4 linked regions of the Arabidopsis thaliana genome follow. The protein of the gene in region 1 interacts with the protein of each later gene in a biochemical or structural test. Each region holds a gene or a part of one and is shown in the gene's direction. Other genes may lie near its edges. The genes, in order: MYC2, JAZ11, JAZ10 and JAZ5.

What was found.
Region 2: the proteins of MYC2 (region 1) and JAZ11 form a complex in vitro, tested with the Arabidopsis thaliana proteins (one study listed by BioGRID).
Region 3: the proteins of MYC2 (region 1) and JAZ10 form a complex in vitro, tested with the Arabidopsis thaliana proteins (2 studies listed by BioGRID).
Region 4: the proteins of MYC2 (region 1) and JAZ5 form a complex in vitro, tested with the Arabidopsis thaliana proteins (one study listed by BioGRID).

The regions. Positions count from the first base shown.
Region 1 is NC_003070.9:11,797,564-11,803,030, reverse strand, and holds MYC2 (Basic helix-loop-helix (bHLH) DNA-binding family protein), read left to right. Parts: upstream 1-1,623; 5' UTR 1,624-2,117; coding exon 2,118-3,989; 3' UTR 3,990-4,687; downstream 4,688-5,467. Other genes in the region: AT1G32630 (FAM50A-like protein), read right to left, coding at 4,688-5,089.
Region 2 is NC_003074.8:15,365,949-15,370,691, forward strand, and holds JAZ11 (jasmonate-zim-domain protein 11), read left to right. Parts: upstream 1-1,597; 5' UTR 1,598-1,721; coding exon 1,722-1,828; intron 1,829-2,054; coding exon 2,055-2,139; intron 2,140-2,234; coding exon 2,235-2,337; intron 2,338-2,412; coding exon 2,413-2,470; intron 2,471-3,153; coding exon 3,154-3,250; intron 3,251-3,347; coding exon 3,348-3,480; intron 3,481-3,573; coding exon 3,574-3,631; intron 3,632-3,750; coding exon 3,751-3,826; 3' UTR 3,827-4,209; downstream 4,210-4,743. UniProt on the Arabidopsis thaliana protein: Repressor of jasmonate (JA) responses. Targets MYC2, MYC3 and MYC4 that are JA-dependent transcription activators.
Region 3 is NC_003076.8:4,216,976-4,221,456, forward strand, and holds JAZ10 (jasmonate-zim-domain protein 10), read left to right. Parts: upstream 1-1,852; 5' UTR 1,853-2,025; coding exon 2,026-2,137; intron 2,138-2,214; coding exon 2,215-2,709; coding exon of another isoform or gene 2,710-2,714; exon of another isoform or gene 2,715-2,959; coding exon 2,960-3,021; coding exon of another isoform or gene 3,022-3,064; 3' UTR 3,065-3,487; coding exon of another isoform or gene 3,488-3,527; 3' UTR 3,528-3,938; downstream 3,939-4,481. UniProt on the Arabidopsis thaliana protein: Repressor of jasmonate (JA) responses. Interacts with and suppresses RHD6 and RSL1 transcription factor activities to negatively regulate jasmonate-stimulated root hair development.
Region 4 is NC_003070.9:5,954,622-5,959,355, reverse strand, and holds JAZ5 (jasmonate-zim-domain protein 5), read left to right. Parts: upstream 1-1,844; 5' UTR 1,845-2,285; coding exon 2,286-2,463; exon of another isoform or gene 2,464-2,677; coding exon of another isoform or gene 2,678-2,768; coding exon 2,769-2,859; intron 2,860-2,979; coding exon 2,980-3,303; coding exon of another isoform or gene 3,304-3,370; exon of another isoform or gene 3,371-3,470; coding exon 3,471-3,702; 3' UTR 3,703-4,201; downstream 4,202-4,734. Other genes in the region: UBP1B (oligouridylate binding protein 1B), read left to right, coding at 4,531-4,635. UniProt on the Arabidopsis thaliana protein: Repressor of jasmonate responses.

The DNA.
Region 1 (5,467 bases):
TTCTACAAGGTCATCCTAGTCACTTATTAACCTAACATATGTAACACATTGTATAAGCTATTCGAGCATGCCAAATCAATCAAGATCATTATATCATGTTCGACGATCTATCGAAAGTGTACACCAATTGATGATTCTCTATTTCTCTAAATCTAAGAATAACTCGAATTGGTCACATACAAATTTGGATCAGGTAACAGATATATTTTTATTTCATGCAGTTAGGAAATAACATATGGGAAATTTATATCTTACGTTCCACATTGTTCCCGAATCCCGACTAATGTCCCTCTCTTTCAACAAGGTGATAGTAAGATCTTCATTTAATCAACCCGACTCTCTACTTAAAAAATTTCAACCATTTTCTCTAAGAAGTCAGAACACTCCATCATCCCCATTCTAAGCTCAACATAACAACATAACAAGAAAACTGTCATCTTTGTTATCTCATTTCTCGAAGTAAGGGGGGAAATCTCTATATTTATCCCACTAATTATTCATTACTTAGTGGGATATTGTTGTTTTCTAGTGGCGTCACCCCCAAAGTCGACATGAAATATGATATCACGAATCACCTAGCCAAAACTTAGTGTAACATCTTCTCATAATTTTCTTATAGTAAACATGTTCAAAAGTCGACTCACAACCACCAGACAATGGTTTGGTTGTTTTCTGTTTGTTGAATCGTTCATTGACGAGTTCACCCAATACAGATGTCTCAGAAAATTATATTCAAAAGTTATTTTGGTTGTTATTTACAAAAAATGGTATACTAGATCCCAAAATTATTTTACTATTTATTGTTGGTAAAATACTCTTTAGTTTAATATGGTTTTAATAAGAAAAATCAACCGGAGTATCATTAATCTGAACGTATAAAGACATATCATTGAGTTTATCACAAGACAACGTAAATCTACAAGAACACAATAACATAAGTTTAGTGTTTTGTTAGTAAGAATTTGTCTTCGCAAGATAGAATTTTAGAAGTATATATATATATATATATATATACTATTTTATCTTAATTCTTTTTGTTTTATTTTTGGTTTTTAGGTAAGGGTTAGGAGTAATGGGACCATATTGGTGGCATGCTAAATTATTGTGATAAATTTATGCATGGAGGAAAAGATGCCAAATGATTTATGTTATTCACTCATACTCACCTAATGACCTAATCCTTGAATTATTGTTCGAACTTTAAAAATAAAATTTTAATATTGTAAATTAAACAAACAATATAACGTTGTTAGCATGTGTTTATCGTGAAATGTGAATGTAACTAAAAATATTATAAAGGAGTTCTTCCTTTCTTAAAGCATATGCTAATAATAGCGTTTGGTCAAATTAATAAATTATTAGTTTATTTAGTCGTCAACAAATTAATTAGTTAAGCAGACAAGAATCGTTTTTGGAGATAGAGATTCTCACTTGCATTTCACTCTCTTGCAATTTAACATATTAAGACAAACACAAATTTTTGCTTTAGTGAATTATTAGCAACGACTCACGTTATATAGATATGCAAATCTCAAAATTAATTAAGCTAAGACACAGTATTTGATAATTGAGATTACAAATCTTAAATTTTGATTTTTAATATTTTAAAATAACATTATAAAATAAGTAATTAATCTGTTATAAAAAATATATTCTAAAAGTTGACAAAACGACAAATATAAATCGAAAAAATAGGTGAAAAGTTATAGTAAAGTGTTTTTCCACTGAGCTCACAGTTCACTCTTTGGTACAAAAGAAACAATCAGTTAAAATCTAAGTCAATCATTAAAGAGCGTGTGATACACGTGCGACCAAACAGCCGTACGATCTCACTCACTTCCGGTCTTAATTCTTACCGCGTCGATCCAACAGTCGATGGGGTTAAATCGGGATGTGAGTTCATCGAAGCTTCTCTCTCTCTTACAACCATCCACGTTTCCCAATGAAATCTCGCCACGTAATATCCCTAACAACAAATTTACACATTCACCCTCAAGATCAGTTACACATATAATAATCGCAGACGCTCTCCATTTTTCTCCACTACGAAGACTTTCTCCTATCTCTCTCTCTCTCATTAAAAACGTGTTTTTTTTTACCGGTCACCGGTTTATGGAATGACTGATTACCGGCTACAACCAACGATGAATCTTTGGACCACCGACGACAACGCTTCTATGATGGAAGCTTTCATGAGCTCTTCCGATATCTCAACTTTATGGCCTCCGGCGTCGACGACAACCACGACGGCGACGACTGAAACAACTCCGACGCCGGCGATGGAGATTCCGGCACAGGCGGGATTTAATCAAGAGACTCTTCAGCAACGTTTACAAGCTTTGATTGAAGGAACACACGAAGGTTGGACCTACGCTATATTCTGGCAACCGTCGTATGATTTCTCCGGCGCCTCCGTGCTCGGATGGGGAGATGGTTATTACAAAGGTGAAGAAGATAAAGCAAACCCGAGACGGAGATCGAGTTCGCCGCCGTTTTCTACTCCGGCGGATCAGGAGTACAGGAAAAAAGTGTTGAGAGAGCTTAACTCGTTGATCTCCGGTGGTGTTGCTCCGTCGGATGACGCTGTTGATGAGGAGGTGACGGATACGGAATGGTTTTTCTTGGTTTCGATGACGCAGAGCTTCGCTTGCGGTGCGGGATTAGCTGGTAAAGCGTTTGCAACGGGTAACGCGGTTTGGGTTTCCGGGTCAGATCAATTATCCGGGTCGGGTTGTGAACGGGCTAAGCAAGGAGGAGTGTTTGGGATGCATACTATTGCGTGTATTCCTTCGGCGAACGGAGTTGTGGAAGTCGGGTCAACGGAGCCGATCCGACAGAGTTCGGACCTTATTAACAAGGTTCGAATTCTTTTCAATTTCGACGGCGGAGCTGGAGATTTATCGGGTCTTAATTGGAATCTTGACCCGGATCAAGGTGAGAACGACCCGTCTATGTGGATTAATGACCCGATTGGAACACCTGGATCTAACGAACCGGGTAACGGAGCTCCAAGTTCTAGCTCCCAGCTTTTTTCAAAGTCTATTCAGTTTGAGAACGGTAGCTCAAGCACAATAACCGAAAACCCGAATCTGGATCCGACTCCGAGTCCGGTTCATTCTCAGACCCAGAATCCGAAATTCAATAACACTTTCTCCCGAGAACTTAATTTTTCGACGTCAAGTTCTACTTTAGTGAAACCAAGATCCGGCGAGATATTAAACTTCGGCGATGAAGGTAAACGAAGCTCCGGAAACCCGGATCCAAGTTCTTATTCGGGTCAAACACAATTCGAAAACAAAAGAAAGAGGTCGATGGTTTTGAACGAAGATAAAGTTCTATCATTCGGAGATAAAACCGCCGGAGAATCAGATCACTCCGATCTAGAAGCTTCCGTCGTGAAAGAAGTAGCAGTAGAGAAACGTCCAAAGAAACGAGGAAGAAAGCCAGCAAACGGTAGAGAAGAGCCACTAAACCACGTCGAAGCAGAGAGACAAAGACGCGAGAAACTAAACCAAAGATTCTACGCGTTACGAGCGGTTGTACCAAACGTTTCAAAAATGGATAAAGCTTCGTTACTCGGTGACGCAATCGCTTACATCAACGAGCTTAAATCCAAAGTAGTCAAAACAGAGTCAGAGAAACTCCAAATCAAGAACCAGCTCGAGGAAGTGAAACTCGAGCTCGCCGGAAGAAAAGCGAGTGCTAGTGGAGGAGATATGTCGTCTTCGTGTTCTTCGATTAAACCGGTGGGGATGGAGATTGAAGTGAAGATAATTGGTTGGGACGCAATGATTAGAGTTGAATCTAGTAAGAGGAATCATCCGGCGGCGAGGTTGATGTCGGCGTTGATGGATTTGGAGTTGGAAGTGAATCACGCGAGTATGTCGGTGGTTAACGATTTGATGATTCAACAAGCGACGGTGAAGATGGGTTTTAGGATCTATACGCAAGAACAGCTCAGAGCAAGTTTGATTTCAAAAATCGGTTAAAAGGGTGTGTTTTGGGAAGTTTAGAAAGTTATGGGGTCAAATCATAATTAATTCGTTTTAGTGGCTTCAGTAATTTTGTAGATTTTAGTTTTGTAAGAAAAAAATCTTAAAATAGAGCGACAAGTTTCTTCTTTTGCTCTATGTTTGAGTCTGTATCGTTTTATTGTTGTATCTCCTCAATGAGTAAACTTGTATATATTGATATGAGTAATATGAGTTAGTTACTGAAAAAGTTAATATTTCTACACAATTTCATATGATAAAAAAGAAAAAGAAATCGAGTATAAATGGTCTAAAATAAGAGACTAATGGTCATGATCACTGATTTTGTACATATGGTCAAAAATGTCTCTCCTAACACATCAAACTTAGGAAGAGAGACAAATCTTAAGTAAGTTAAGTCGAGAGGGAGACCATATGCACAGTTTTCTTAAGTCAGTGTGATAATGTTTCCTCTTGTCTAATCAATAAGACACAACACACATAAACCTTAGTATAATACTACATGGATCTTCGAATACACAGACAGAGTCACAGACAAGAAAAAGCAAATCACTTGCTTTTGTCTTGATCATTTCCAATATCTACAAAAATAGAAATCTTGAAGAGATTATTGAATCTGAAATCTGCTTTGTTTGTGCATTCTCTTCCTCGATCACCTCGCAAGATCCTCTAGCAACCTGACCAATCCTCAAGAATCAAGTTTTCTTCTTTCTAGCTTCAGCTTTCCAATCTCGACGATGCGGCCTTATCTTCCGTTTAACCGACTCACAAGAACTATCTTGAGCCTTGTTCATAATCAAATGAGCTCTTCTAGCTTCTTTTTTCCAATTTCTATCGCAATAAACCCGCCGCACAAAGTTCTCAACATAACCACTAGGTCCATTAAACTCTAGTCCCTCGTCTTCTTCTTCTTCTTCTTCTTGTTTTCCCATTGTCTCAAACGAAAGATTATCATCGTTACCCGCTTCTTCTTCCCGCATCCGTTTCCTGGCTCGATACCTACGTTGTCTTTCTCTGTTCTTCATTCGACGGATCATGACTTCATCTTTGTCTATCAACCCTTCTTTCTCATCAATGCTCAAACCACCATTGCTCATCTTTCCTTCAATTCCAATTACTCAAAACACTGATAAAACAAACCAAATTCTATTATAAGGTAATGCATTTAAAGGAAAGAATCTAAAGCTCTATAAAACCCTAGAAGCTTCTTAATTCAAAAGCTGAAGACACAAAACACACACAAATGTAATTTTGCAACTAGAGGAGGACCAAATTAGAGATTCGTTAATAGCAATCAACCAGAAATGTAAGACTTCCAAAGAATCAAAATTAGCTAATCGATACAACTAAAAATGTTATTTTGCTTTGCTTTCAAGTTGAGAAAACAGAGAAGTTCGATACTCAAAGAACCTGAATGATTAATTCGATGATTAGGTTAAGAGGCTAAAACCCATATATTACCAATCTCAGTGATT
Region 2 (4,743 bases), on another chromosome or scaffold:
ATTCCATGACCATCGTTGGCCGGATCTACTTTTCTTATCAGTGTATCTGATGTTTTTTTTTTTTTTTTTCTTTCAATAATCTCATAGATCCTCTATTGGAAATTTAGGTGTTTTTTTGCTTAAAGGTGTTTATTATCCAATTTGATCTTTTGAGTTTGCGATTTGCAGGAATCAATCCAAAGAGTTACATCTTAAGTTGCAGAAAAGAAAACAATTTCATTGCACACTAATATTGCTTTTAGCTGTAAATCTCTATTTTGATGTTCGATTGGTTTATGAACAATGAAACCTAGAAGAATCAAGCTTGCTTTTATAATCAATGATGATTTTTCTCACTGGAATCGATCTCAGATGGCGAATGATCTACAATTGAGGCTATTTGTCTAATTGATCTATGGACACGAGTGTTTTCCTTTTTGTTTTTAGGTGTTGCTGAAAAGCTCCATCGGCTTAATATCTACGTTGATGTTCTTTGGAGTTCGGGAGTCATTGCCCTTGTGAAGATCTTTTCTTTACAGATTTGATGATGTAGTTGGTAGGATTCTCTAGTTAAAAACCTGTGGACTTATTTCTTGAAGCTCTGACGGTTTTCGGTAGTTTTGGAGTTCCCTTACGCTTCGTACCATATCGGCTATGAGCGGCGAACGGCGACAACATCTACTTCAACTTTACTTCATAGGCTCACACATGGTTTTGTGTTGGATTTGTTATATTTCTTAGTTCCTTAAAGGGGTATCTTTATGGATTGGACTTTTTAAGTTGGGTCTCCGCTTATAAGCTGAATTGTTGGTGAAGTGGAAGCTTCCACTGTTGTACCTTTTACGACATAGAGTTTTAAATAGAAGAGAAAATTCCCAAAAAAAACTTCAACTATTAAAATTTGCCAAAAAAACCTCAACTTTTTCGGTTGTCAAAAAACTCAAACTAATTTATTAGTGACAAATAAAACCCAAACTAGAAATATTGGCAGATTATACATACGCTCTAAAAACAAATTATAGTTTTATCCTTAAAAAATTAATTCTTTTTTTTTTGAAACGAAAAGAAATTTCTTATTTACTTTGTATTTTTTTAGTTTATACGTTTTTGCCTTTTTGGAAATTATCATAGAAAAATGATATGAGTGTCTCATTTTTAATTCTCTTTTCATATATTTTTACTTTTTAGATTTTCAAACTTTAAAAACCAAATCGTTTCTCTATTTCTTTTTTTTTTGCTTATTTCTTTCTAATTTTTGGTTCCTCAATATCAAAATGATTCAATGTTCTTCGACTAATTTACATATTTTGATTTTTTCATCATAATTATATAGTTAGCTTTGTGTTAATATATCTTATTTAATTTATTTTAGCAATACGATAACGGCGGTATGCATGTACTAAAAAGGATGCGTAAAGAGTATTAAGTTTTTCACATCGAACAAAATTGTCCACTATTTTATTTTTTTAAATAGTTGTCTATATTACAAGAACAAATGAAAATAAATAGGTATTATTAGATAAGTAGTTTTTTTTTTTGGTAAGGCATTATTACTTATTAGATAAGTAGTTAGATATATAAAATAATCAAATAGTTGAGGTTTTTTTGGAATATTTCTGAGAAAAACAAAAAGAAAACAAAATTGATTGAATAATGAATACACCGAATAACGAACGTTGCGTAGAGAAGAGAACCAATTCCCAATCAAACGGAGAAGACAGATATTATTCACAGAGAGGCTCATGGCTGAGGTAAACGGAGATTTCCCCGTTCCTAGTTTCGCCGACGGGACCGGTTCTGTTTCCGCCGGACTTGACTTGCTCGTTGAGAGATCGATTCACGAAGCTAGGTATGTATCACTAGTAACTGGAATCAATTTGAATCGTTAATTCTCATTTCTCTTTATCTGTCTTTGTGTTTGAAGTTTTTTCTTAGCCTATAGTTCTGTGATTTGTTAGTTCTTAGTACACTATAGGAGCGTGAGCAATTGACGAGACTTGGATCTATATGAATTGTTAAATTAGCAGATCAATTTGGGAAACTCAAGAGGTTTAATTTCAAACTCTTGTTTCAAGGTCCACAGAGCCAGATGCTTCAACTCAACTTACTATTATCTTTGGTGGGAGTTGTAGAGTCTTCAATGGTGTCCCTGCACAAAAGGTTTGGTCCATCTAGCTTTGAGTACATACATTCTGATTTTGTTTATGTTGGTTGCATCAGAGTTTCTAATTGTATTGGTGATCAATGCTTAATAGGTTCAAGAAATCATTCGCATCGCTTTTGCTGGTAAACAGACGAAGAATGTGACCGGTATCAATCCAGCACTGAACAGAGCTCTTTCTTTCTCAACTGTAGCTGGTAAGCAATTGCTTCATTCGGTTACTGTAAGCATTATCTACGGAGTTACGGACTATTAATCCCTGTTTGTCTCAGATCTTCCAATTGCTAGGAGACGTTCGCTTCAAAGATTTCTCGAGAAGAGACGGGACAGGTAGTTAGATATTCAGTGTTTGCTTTATTAACATATTGATAGTTCTGGAAGTGTTAGTGTGTATGAATCTGATTTGTTAGTATGTATTAGTTTGTGACGTCAAATATTGTTCTTGCATTTAGGAATTTTCATGTGTAGGTAGGTTGTTGAAGCTTAAGCAAATGAAGAGACTGGATCTATGTGAATGTTAATTTGTATACATTGACTGGTTTCGGAAACTGAGATAGTCTTTTAGTTTTTTTTCTTACAAGTGTTTAAGCTTTTATTCTCATGTATTATTCTACTTCTATATCATATTTGGCTGACTTATGGCCACCAGATAATTGTGTATTTCTTAGTGATCATGCCTCACAAATACATTAGATGTTGTTGCCCATTCTTTAGTATCGGTTTTATGAGCTTGAATTTGAACTAGGCTTGTGTGTTTGATTTTGGTACCGTTGAATGCAAAAATAGCCTTCTATCTACTGTTAGATGACATCATCAGATGATTTAAATTTAGTAGGTTGTTTGAACTGATGTATTGATGGGACTGAGGTTAGTTGATAGCCTAAGCGGCTGTAATATTGTAGTGGAATCACTATTTTGTTCTTCTCCCTTTTGCATCAATAGGGTCTTAAAATTTGGGTGGATTATTATTATCTTCCATCATTCATAACTAGCTCTTGTTTCTTCTATTGAAGGTCCACGAAGCCAGATGGTTCAATGATCCTTCCAAGTCAACTAACCATTATTTTTGGTGGGAGTTTTAGCGTATTTGATGGTATTCCAGCTGAAAAGGTTTGGTCCATCCAAGTTTTGAGTACATTCGTATTTCGTTTTTGTTGGGAAGCAGTTGCATGAGATTTCTTGTTCTCTTGGTGATCACACTTAATAGGTTCAAGAAATTCTGCATATCGCTGCTGCAGCTAAAGCCACTGAGACAATTAATTTGACCAGTATAAATCCAGCATTAAAGAGAGCTATTTCATTCTCAAACGCATCAACAGTAGCTTGCGTATCGACAGCAGGTAAGGACTTGCTACATTGGATTACCGTAAACGTTATATAGTCCGAGTATGGAAAACCCCATGAGCTTTATGTAAGATGCATGTTTATCTCAGATGTGCCAATTGCTAGGAGACGTTCACTTCAAAGATTTTTTGAGAAAAGACGGCATCGGTAGGCATATCTGCAGTGCTTGTTTTATAAACATATACTCTCATCTTTCTCCATCACTCACCTATGAGTTTGACCATTAGATTTCATCTAATAGTAACTTGGACCCTCTTTATTTTCAGATTTGTCCACACGAAGCCTTACTCTGCTACGACTTCGGAAGCAGACAAAAATGAAACCAGCCCCATTGTGACATGAGCTCCAAGACTGTAAGCTAACCTCAAACCTTACTTTCGAAGCAACTCAGTATCACAGTTATCTTTGACAAGATTAACACAGCTCATATATAAGCCTTCCGTTGTTGTACGATAATCATCTGCCTATGTTTCTTAGACAAAACACAAAATTGTTTTCCATGTTTGTGATTTGATGTGTTTATCATCTCGCACCTCCTCTTTGAGGAAGATGATTTCTTTTTCTTCACAATGTATGTTGATGCTGTATGATAAGGTCTCAGAGCTATATAAGAACACAAGAGTACTCAAAAATGACCATGAAAGACTTAGTGTCCTTATAAGCAAATCACGACCAAGAAACATACAGAGAAATCATCAAATACTAACCGGAGAGATTAGTAGGGACCTCAGATCAAAATTTTCAGGTCTGGTTAGGCATGTGATTATTACCAGAACCAAAATTTTCAAACCAAGCCAATCCAGTTTTTGGTCATTTCAATTTAGGGTCGGTCACTAAAAGTGAACAGGTCGGCATAATTTTTTAGTACATATATTTAACATGTGCCCAAGTTATGACAAACGATGAAACATAACATATTTATTATAAATGATTTATACATCATAACTCATAAAAACATCAAAATTATGAAATATTTTGGTAGCGCTACCATAACCACTCAATCATCCGACTGAAATCATCAAAATAAAAAAATATTTTCTAACTTTTTTTATATTTACATAAATATATCTACAAAATGATCCCGTATAAACTTGTAATAAATTATATATGTGCATTTTTCAAGACCAAATCTCTAAGATCAAAGACTAATGCTACCACATCATTCAACGAAACAATGCAAATAAATTTTGGGATAACTTTAACTTTGATCATCTTTTAAAGTATTTAAGGATTTTACATACAAATTTGTAATTTAAAGG
Region 3 (4,481 bases), on another chromosome or scaffold:
CTTAAGGGGCTTTTCAACTATAGGTTCAATTATATTCTTATGTAAGGGTACTAACTAGTGTGGGCTGTAAACGACTTAAAGTTTCGGCCATTTAGTTTTATGCAAGAAAAAAAATATAGATAATACAGTAATGATGAATCCACTATACATGTTAAATCCAATATAATAAATCCACTATACATTAGTGTTCTCATATTTCGTTTCAAGATTCGATTCAAAAAATTTGAAAATGTTAAATATGTGTTTCTGAGATTAAAGGCCAAAAGAAGGGTAAGGTCGTATATGAAAGGTGGACAGAGGGGCAAATTAGTCAGCTTGAAAAATACATCGACATTAAAAATCGGCAGCACTGACAAAACGTGTGATAACACAAATAAAAATAATCGGAAGAAAAAGAATAAATAAGGCGTATTGACTCTGGAACGTGAGAAGATGAAAGAGAGCGACGAAAACCTCTAAAGACTTATCGAGAAGTGCACCTTAGCCTAGTGAATAATGATATGTATTGACATTAACTACTACTACTACAGCTCCCAACACGTGAAAGACATGCATCTAACTCTTTCACTTTCGGTTGCCAAGAAAAAAAAAAAAAAAAAACTTTCACTTTCGGCATCAAATATATACTACTAAAAAAGTTTTTTATACGTAATTCTTTTTTAATATTTGATTAGTTCAGAATATTAATTAAAAAAATTACTTTTCGTAATCACTACATTTTGTAGTTATATGATTTTTAATTTAAAATAGTAAAAAGGAGAAATGTAACTAATTAAGCTAACATGCGCGCGATAGAATAAGGTGAAGTTTAAATTTGAGCACAAGATAGAAAATTGAGGTCAATTTAATTCGGAAGTGGTTCAAGGTATATTTTCACAAGAAAGAAAAACGTGAGTTCATTGAATCCCTCTATAACTTTACTTGAGAACAATGTAATAATATGTAAATCTGTTAGGAAACGAGCAGCCACATATGCTTTAAACAAGAGAACAAGAAAAAGAGCGGCCACATGTGAAAAAAAAACACCAGCCAAAATGTGAAACTAAGAAAAGAAAAGAAAAACCATCGACATCGTCCAAAGGATCGACCCGTCTTTTCTGGTTTGGCAGAAAACAAACTTCCAAGTTCCGACTTGACCTAGTCTTTATGCATCTGCAGTGGTGTTTTCTTTAAATCTTTTTTTGAATGGATTTGAAAATCTTATTTTTTCTTCTTCTTTCAAAACACTAACTGTGAATCACCACCAACATTTTATTGTTCTAAAATCCCTATTTGTATGTTTTATTGGTTACTTTCCCAAATATGATGAAAGTTTATTGGTGTACTTTAGTTTAGAAATGTAAGAAATTTCAGTTGTATTATTAGGTCAACCAAATATTATTCTTGAATAGTAATGTCAAATTTTGTTTATATTGAAAAATCAATAAGACTGATATCTACTAAATGTGATTTGCTATACTAGTAGAGCTAGTAGTAGCAAGATTAAAATTCATATTAAGAAAAAATGGAAAAGAAAAACATGTTTCGAGAAAAATATACAGATCAGAGACTAGAGTAGAAAACAAATATAATGTCAGAAGAACCCAATGTGACGAACAGTAACAGAAACATGTTACCAAATTTTTGAAGATATATTTTTATAAAACATTACAATGTTCATTGGACTTCCGTTATTTCCGGATATAAAATATCTTCTTTCTGCGTAGCAAGCAATTACATTACATTAGGTATATTAAGAATTTAAACATGTGTTTTGAATCATTAAATTAATTAGATAAGTAAGAGAAGAGGTTGGGAGCCTAATAAAAACAAAACAAAAAGGAAAAAGTGGATAGGTTGCCAATTGTGCCGAAAAGAAAGAGAAAGCATGAACCTCGTGCGTTAAATAAGTATCAGAGACATACTACATTTTAAAAACTCTCACATGAGAAATCAGAATCCGTTATTATTCCTCCATTTATTCATCTCAAAACCCATATCTCTCTGTCTTGATCTCTCTCTCACTTTCTAATAAGATCAAAGAAGATGTCGAAAGCTACCATAGAACTCGATTTCCTCGGACTTGAGAAGAAACAAACCAACAACGCTCCTAAGCCTAAGTTCCAGAAATTTCTCGATCGCCGTCGTAGTTTCCGAGGTTCGTTTGGTTTTTAGTCGCTCTCTCTTTTTTTTTTCTTGCGATAAATCGAATTTATTCATATGGAACTCCTGCAGATATTCAAGGTGCGATTTCGAAAATCGATCCGGAGATTATCAAATCGCTGTTAGCTTCCACTGGAAACAATTCCGATTCATCGGCTAAATCTCGTTCGGTTCCGTCTACTCCGAGGGAAGATCAGCCTCAGATCCCGATTTCTCCGGTCCACGCGTCTCTCGCCAGGTATTTTTGTCTTTCCGGTAAAGTTTTTTTTTTCTTTCTAACTTTTTTGGCGCTACCAGAAAAGACGAAAAAATTTGAAATTCAAATTTTCAAAACATTCATTTTCCTCAGGTCTAGTACCGAACTCGTTTCGGGAACTGTTCCTATGACGATTTTCTACAATGGAAGTGTTTCAGTTTTCCAAGTGTCTCGTAACAAAGCTGGTGAAATTATGAAGGTCGCTAATGAAGCAGCATCTAAGAAAGACGAGTCGTCGATGGAGACAGATCTTTCGGTAATTCTTCCGACCACTCTAAGACCAAAGCTCTTTGGCCAGAATCTAGAAGGAGGTTAGTATAATAAAAATAAAAATCACTTAGTGCTGGATTCTTCTAGAATTTTAGTTACATATTATTGCATGTAGAGATCTAAGAAGAGTTTGTTGTTAGAGAGGAATTGGTTGCTAATTAGTTTGGAATTAGATATCAAAGAGTTAAAGACTATAGTTTATGTCTATACGTATTAATATACGTTATTAATAAAAGTATAAACATGTTGTTTAATTTCTGATAAGAAACTGGTTTATGCGTGTGTATGCAGATCTTCCCATCGCAAGGAGAAAGTCACTGCAACGTTTTCTCGAGAAGCGCAAGGAGAGGTAATGATTCTTCAACAATCCAAGGATTTTTACCCCCAAATAATTAAAGAAAGGTTTTTATTTTTCTCTCTCTCGACCTTTTTTTTACTATAAGTTATTTAAGATAGTAATTATGGGTCCTGCCTCTTTTACTCTCACATACAACTTAAGATTCAACTAGTTTTGTTCAACAACGCACATGCTTATACGTAGATAGATAATGGAGATCAGTAGTAATATCGGTATACGTAGGTTACTATTGTAATGGAACTTTTAAAAAGCGCGTTGACTTTGAGTCTTTGACTCTAGTTCTGTTTGCTACACCGACAAGTTATATTTTTCAAAATGATGAGAAAACGAGGAGAAACACCGGAAAAAAATTTGAACTTTTACTTTTATCAGACCATACGGCCAAAGAAAGATCTGTATATTATATAAGTTATCACAAAACGCGGTTTCACATTTTCTTTTTCGTCTTGTTGTGTTTGCAGATTAGTATCAACATCTCCTTACTATCCGACATCGGCCTAAACGATCTCTTTTTAGATTGGGACATGGACCAAATTTGTCTTTTTCAATCGGAAGACATCCATGTTCGTTTTTGGATTTGGCTTATTTCCAATCTTCTTTTGAAGCCTTCTTCGTCGTTGCTAAATCGTATACTATTCACGACAAACGTTTTTAGGAGATTACGTTACCTACTAAGATTATATATATTGGTTTGTTTTTAAAAATGTCTATTATCTTTATTGTCATTGATAGCTTGATTTAAGAAGCTCTCTCTTATCCCGTGACCTTCTACTTTTGTTTTATTTTTTAGTATATGGTAAAGAAAATTATAACACGCCTCTTTTAGCTTCTCATGAAGCTTCCGTATCAGAGTATTATTAAAGGAAATGTGGCCATTCATCTTTGATTATATTGGTTGGTCTCTAGCTTGGGTTGTCCTAATTGTTATAATGGAAAACAGTTTAAGAAACACGTGAGTATTAGTTATATAATACTATCAAGTCTACCCGACTAATTGTGTCTTTATGTCAAAAGTCTTTTAACATGAGTTTGGTGGAATTTGTACATTGGAATGAAGATGAAAAGAAGTGGTAAAGTGAACGTACTTTGTGTGGCTTCTTTTAGACAATTACCCCTTTCATTGAATAGTATCCATCACTAGTACTAACAAAAAAGGGATGGCTGGTCCGGATTTAAGAAACAAAAACCACACAACCATTCACTGCGTCTTCTTTATCATTGAAACCAAGATACTGTAGCTTATTGATATGAAATAAATACCACCATGTGCATACGTGAGAGTTTTTTTATTACATGTAGTTTCTTAAAAATGTTTTCGTGTCTCTTTAAGTTGTGTCAAGTAAATTGCTTCTCATTTAATCTACTGCGATGACATAAACTTAGTTTGCACATTGCAATGGCTAATGAGAGTACTAAACTTACATCATGTTGTTTAAGCTTTGAAGATGGAATACC
Region 4 (4,734 bases), 5.8 Mb from region 1:
GCGTTACGGTAACATCTTTGGCGAGAACAAGAAGTGTCGGGATCGGGTTCGTTTTATTAAGGATCGTGCGTTGGATGTTTGGAAGGCGCATGTGCACAAAATGGGAGTGACGACGCGGACAGCTAGGGAGGAGAGATTGATTGCGTGGTCTCCGCCAAGGGTGGGTTGGTTTAAGCTCAATACTGATGGTGCTTCGCGTGGTAACCCGAGACTAGCTACAGCAGGTGGAGTAGTTCGAGACGGGGATGGAAATTGGTGTTATGGGTTTTCGTTGAATATTGGAATTTGTTCGGCTCCGCTTGCGGAACTATGGGGAGCATATTACGGTTTAAATATCGCTTGGGAGCGCGGTGTCACACAGTTGGAGATGGAGATTGATTCGGAGATGGTAGTGGGTTTTCTTCGGACAGGGATTGATGATTCGCATCCGCTGTCCTTCCTGGTGCGGTTGTGCCATGGCTTACTTTCAAAGGACTGGTCAGTCCGGATTTCGCATGTGTATAGAGAAGCTAATCGTCTCGCGGATGGGTTAGCTAACTATGCTTTTTTTTTACCGTTAGGTTTTCATTTGTTTAATTCTACTCCGGATATTGTTATGTCGATTGTTCACGATGATGTAGCGGGGTCTGCGTACCCCCGGAACGTTCAAGTGTAATTTTTTTAGTTTTTTCAGTTTTAATAAAAATGGGGGTTCGCCCCCCTCTTCTACAAAAAAAAATATCACTTTCAAAAGGACCCATTCGCTACCCAATTTTTCTAAACCCCAGAACGTTTTTTTTTTTTCCAAAACACAACAGCCACTTGGTCTTTGCAACAATGCAAGTAGTGTAGTGGCGTAGCTAGGGGTAACGAGTTACCAAACCGGTTTGACAATCTGGTTCGATCAATTGGCCGATCACTCGGTTTGCTCTAATCTTGCTTCATTTAGTCCCATCAACAACACTTATTAAACTAAGTCACATCTAAACTTTTTATATCTTTGGTATCATTTTCCCCGAACACGTTTTTTTGAACGAGTCGTAGTTTTGAAGCAACCAACGAACGTATTGATTATTATGGGCATCCGTGAAAGGGGCAGTTCGGTCAATTGATCCATCAATTTTATTTTTGACCAAACTGATTAGGTGATCTTAAGATTTTTCCTTTTTTCTTTCTATAGGAAAGTGGGAAAAACGCGATTCACACGATACTGTTGCTAGTGCGTCGTACAGATTGCGATACGTGTCACAATCTTGACGGTCTGTTCTATTTAAACCACGTGTTTTAATCAAAAAACTTCTGTCGGATCGTATCGGAGACTTTGAATTTTTATGGCACATGAAACTTCGTAGGGGTTTGATGGTAGGATCCCACATTGGTCCACTTACTATTCAATTCGCACCGCCGTTAAGTTTGTTAACTAACGTGAGGAACGTCGCGGTGATGTAAAAAAAGGCCATGAAAGTTGTTTCTATTACGATGATGCCATCACTGGAGTTGGTAATGTGCTCTTGTGGAAGGGCAAATTTTGTAAATACGATCAAATTTCGAGTCTTTTACGAATTTGTGACATACGCCGTTTAATAACGTTTGCCGTCGGTTCTGAAATCTTTATTCTTTTTCTCTTTTATCGTTACGCGTAAGGAAAACGTGCGGTAAATTCTAACCGAAAATATATATAAAAAAGTAGTCCAATTTTGAAATCTGGCCGTTGATGGTAGACAACTAAACTGTGCCAAACAAGAAACAAGAGGTGAACATATTTTTATGATAAGACAGGGCAATAAATTTGTTGTACCAACTCATAAAACAATAGATAAATTACTTGCACAATGATGGATTATTAACATTAATTTTCTTACTATTAATCATGGATGAAAATTCCTTTCTTCACACTAGATATAGTTCTTTAACTAGTTAAAAATGCATGCGATGGAATATTACTAAATATGATATAATCTCATGGCTTTATGTAAGATTTGTTTTTTGGTTTTTTTGGTTGTTGTTAATAAATTTATTATTGAGAAGTTTAATTCTATTTTGGTCACAATATATTGAAATATTTTTAAGAAACTAAAAAGTTCCTATTTATTTTTGTTTTCATTAATTTATGAGAGGCTATTAAAGTCACAGAAACTTATTGGGTGAATGAGTTTATAAACACATGAGCTATTGAGCTAGTAGCCTCTTGTACTCTTCCATTTTACGCGCAATCCACGCACCAACAAAAAGAAAAGAAAAGAAGAGATAAAGAATATCTTTAAAAAGTAAGTGTGGAGAATTCTTTCTTCTCAATAAACAACAACATGTCGTCGAGCAATGAAAATGCTAAGGCACAAGCGCCGGAGAAATCTGACTTTACCCGGAGATGTAGTTTGCTCAGCCGTTACTTGAAGGAGAAGGGTAGTTTCGGAAACATTGATCTTGGCTTATACCGAAAACCCGATTCCAGTCTCGCGTTGCCCGGAAAATTCGATCCACCAGGTACTTTTATTATCTCTTTCTTCTTTCATGGCCGCCACTTGGTAATAGTACTTTAAAAACTCAGTTCTGTTACTACTTGCTTTTGCCAGATTTACTACTTTTGTATTGTTTCTTCATTTGTAAGTCAGTTCCTTACTTCAGAAATAATTTCTCCTTGTAATTATGAAGACAAGTAACAAAAATAACGAATAAGTTGATATAGAAATTGATTGAGATGTGGTTAATAAAATTCCAAAGATATAAGATGCTATATCATTTTTCTAAAGTTATTATAGTTCACGAAAGTTTTTATTCTCTTTATGCAGGGAAACAAAATGCGATGCATAAGGCAGGGCATTCCAAAGGCGAACCCTCTACCTCATCAGGAGGCAAAGTCAAAGATGTTGCTGACCTCAGGTCTCTCCTTTTGTTCCTTGGGAATACTTGTTGTTTTTGGTTATTGGAGATTAGAGAAAAGGATAATCGGTTAATCCGGTTAAAATTGGTTTTGTTCTGAAATCTGTTTTTGGTTTGCAGTGAATCACAGCCAGGAAGTTCGCAGCTGACCATATTCTTCGGAGGGAAAGTTTTAGTATATAATGAGTTCCCCGTAGACAAAGCTAAAGAGATTATGGAAGTAGCAAAACAAGCCAAGCCTGTGACTGAGATTAACATTCAGACACCAATCAATGACGAAAACAACAACAACAAGAGCAGCATGGTTCTTCCTGATCTCAATGAGCCTACTGATAATAATCACCTAACAAAGGAACAACAACAGCAACAAGAACAAAATCAGATCGTGGAACGTATAGCACGTAGAGCTTCCCTCCATCGATTCTTTGCTAAACGGAAAGACAGGTATTTAACCTTATCATACTTTTTGAAACTTGTTTTAATGTTCCAAATTTCCAATCACTCTAGTTAGTTCAAAACTCAAAAGTTTAAGGATCCTCCCTCTGATATAAGTTCTCCTAAATTATCCTCAACAAGCCTCGTAATTTACGTTATTAATTTTTCTGTTGCAGAGCTGTGGCTAGGGCTCCGTACCAAGTTAACCAAAACGCAGGTCATCATCGTTATCCTCCCAAGCCAGAGATTGTAACCGGTCAACCACTAGAGGCAGGACAGTCGTCACAAAGACCGCCGGATAACGCCATTGGTCAAACCATGGCCCATATCAAATCAGACGGTGATAAAGATGATATTATGAAGATTGAAGAAGGCCAAAGTTCGAAAGATCTCGATCTAAGGCTATAGTAATATTTGCTAAATTTCTTGTAGGAACTGAGTTTTTAGATTAACGTTTCGATTTTTCTGACTTATCTAAGTGATTTTATTTTGCTTTGTACTACAGTATGTAATCTTATTCTAACTTGAATATTCATTCATAAACACAATAGACGATAGTAAAGTTATATTATAATTAGTTAACTACGTACAACACTTGGGAGTTAAATTACATAACGTTAAGCGAGAAATAGCAAATTAGACAAGAGGAAGAATATTTAGGAGTTGTGAATTGATCTGACTGCAATAACATGAAGAGGAATCTGACTGCAATCGTAATGCGGGTAAAGATGGTTGAAAGTGATCAGAGCTCCTTTCTAATTTATTTAGGGTGTAATTTATGAAAATGATTATTATTGGAGTGTATATCAAGTTTTCACTAAACTCAGGGGTGTTTATTGTAATTAGTTGTCAGGTTCAAGTTCATTGAAGGCGTGTCTGATTTGGACAGTGATTGGGCCTGAGCCATAAGTTTAACGTGGGACGAGTTCATTGGCTGTTGCTTTTTAAATTTTCTTACAGCCTGTGACTTTAGCTAATCGATGTGTAAAAATAATAAATCCAATAAAATTCGTAAGAGCCACTCGATTGCTTCCTTCGCTTTCTATCAAGAGACTTCCTTTTTTTTTTCCTGTTCTTCATTTTTTTTTTGTTATTAATATTTTGTCATTTTTCTTACATTTTTCTCGAACACCGAAAACACTTTCGAACCCTAAAAGACAGAACACTGTGTCAATTTTCATTACCTGGGAACGAAAAGCAAAATCAAAGACAATAATTTTTTCCCCGAGAGAGAAAATGCAGAGGTTGAAGCAGCAGCAGCAGCAGCAACAAGTTATGATGCAGCAAGCTCTTATGCAGCAACAGTCTCTCTACCATCCTGGTCTCCTTGCCCCGCCACAGGTTTGCTCTATTCTTCTTCCATTTCCATGCTCGATTTGGGTTTCTAGGCTCTTTTTCCCAAGCTCGATTTCACTGGTTTTTCTCTCTTTTTTGTTGTAT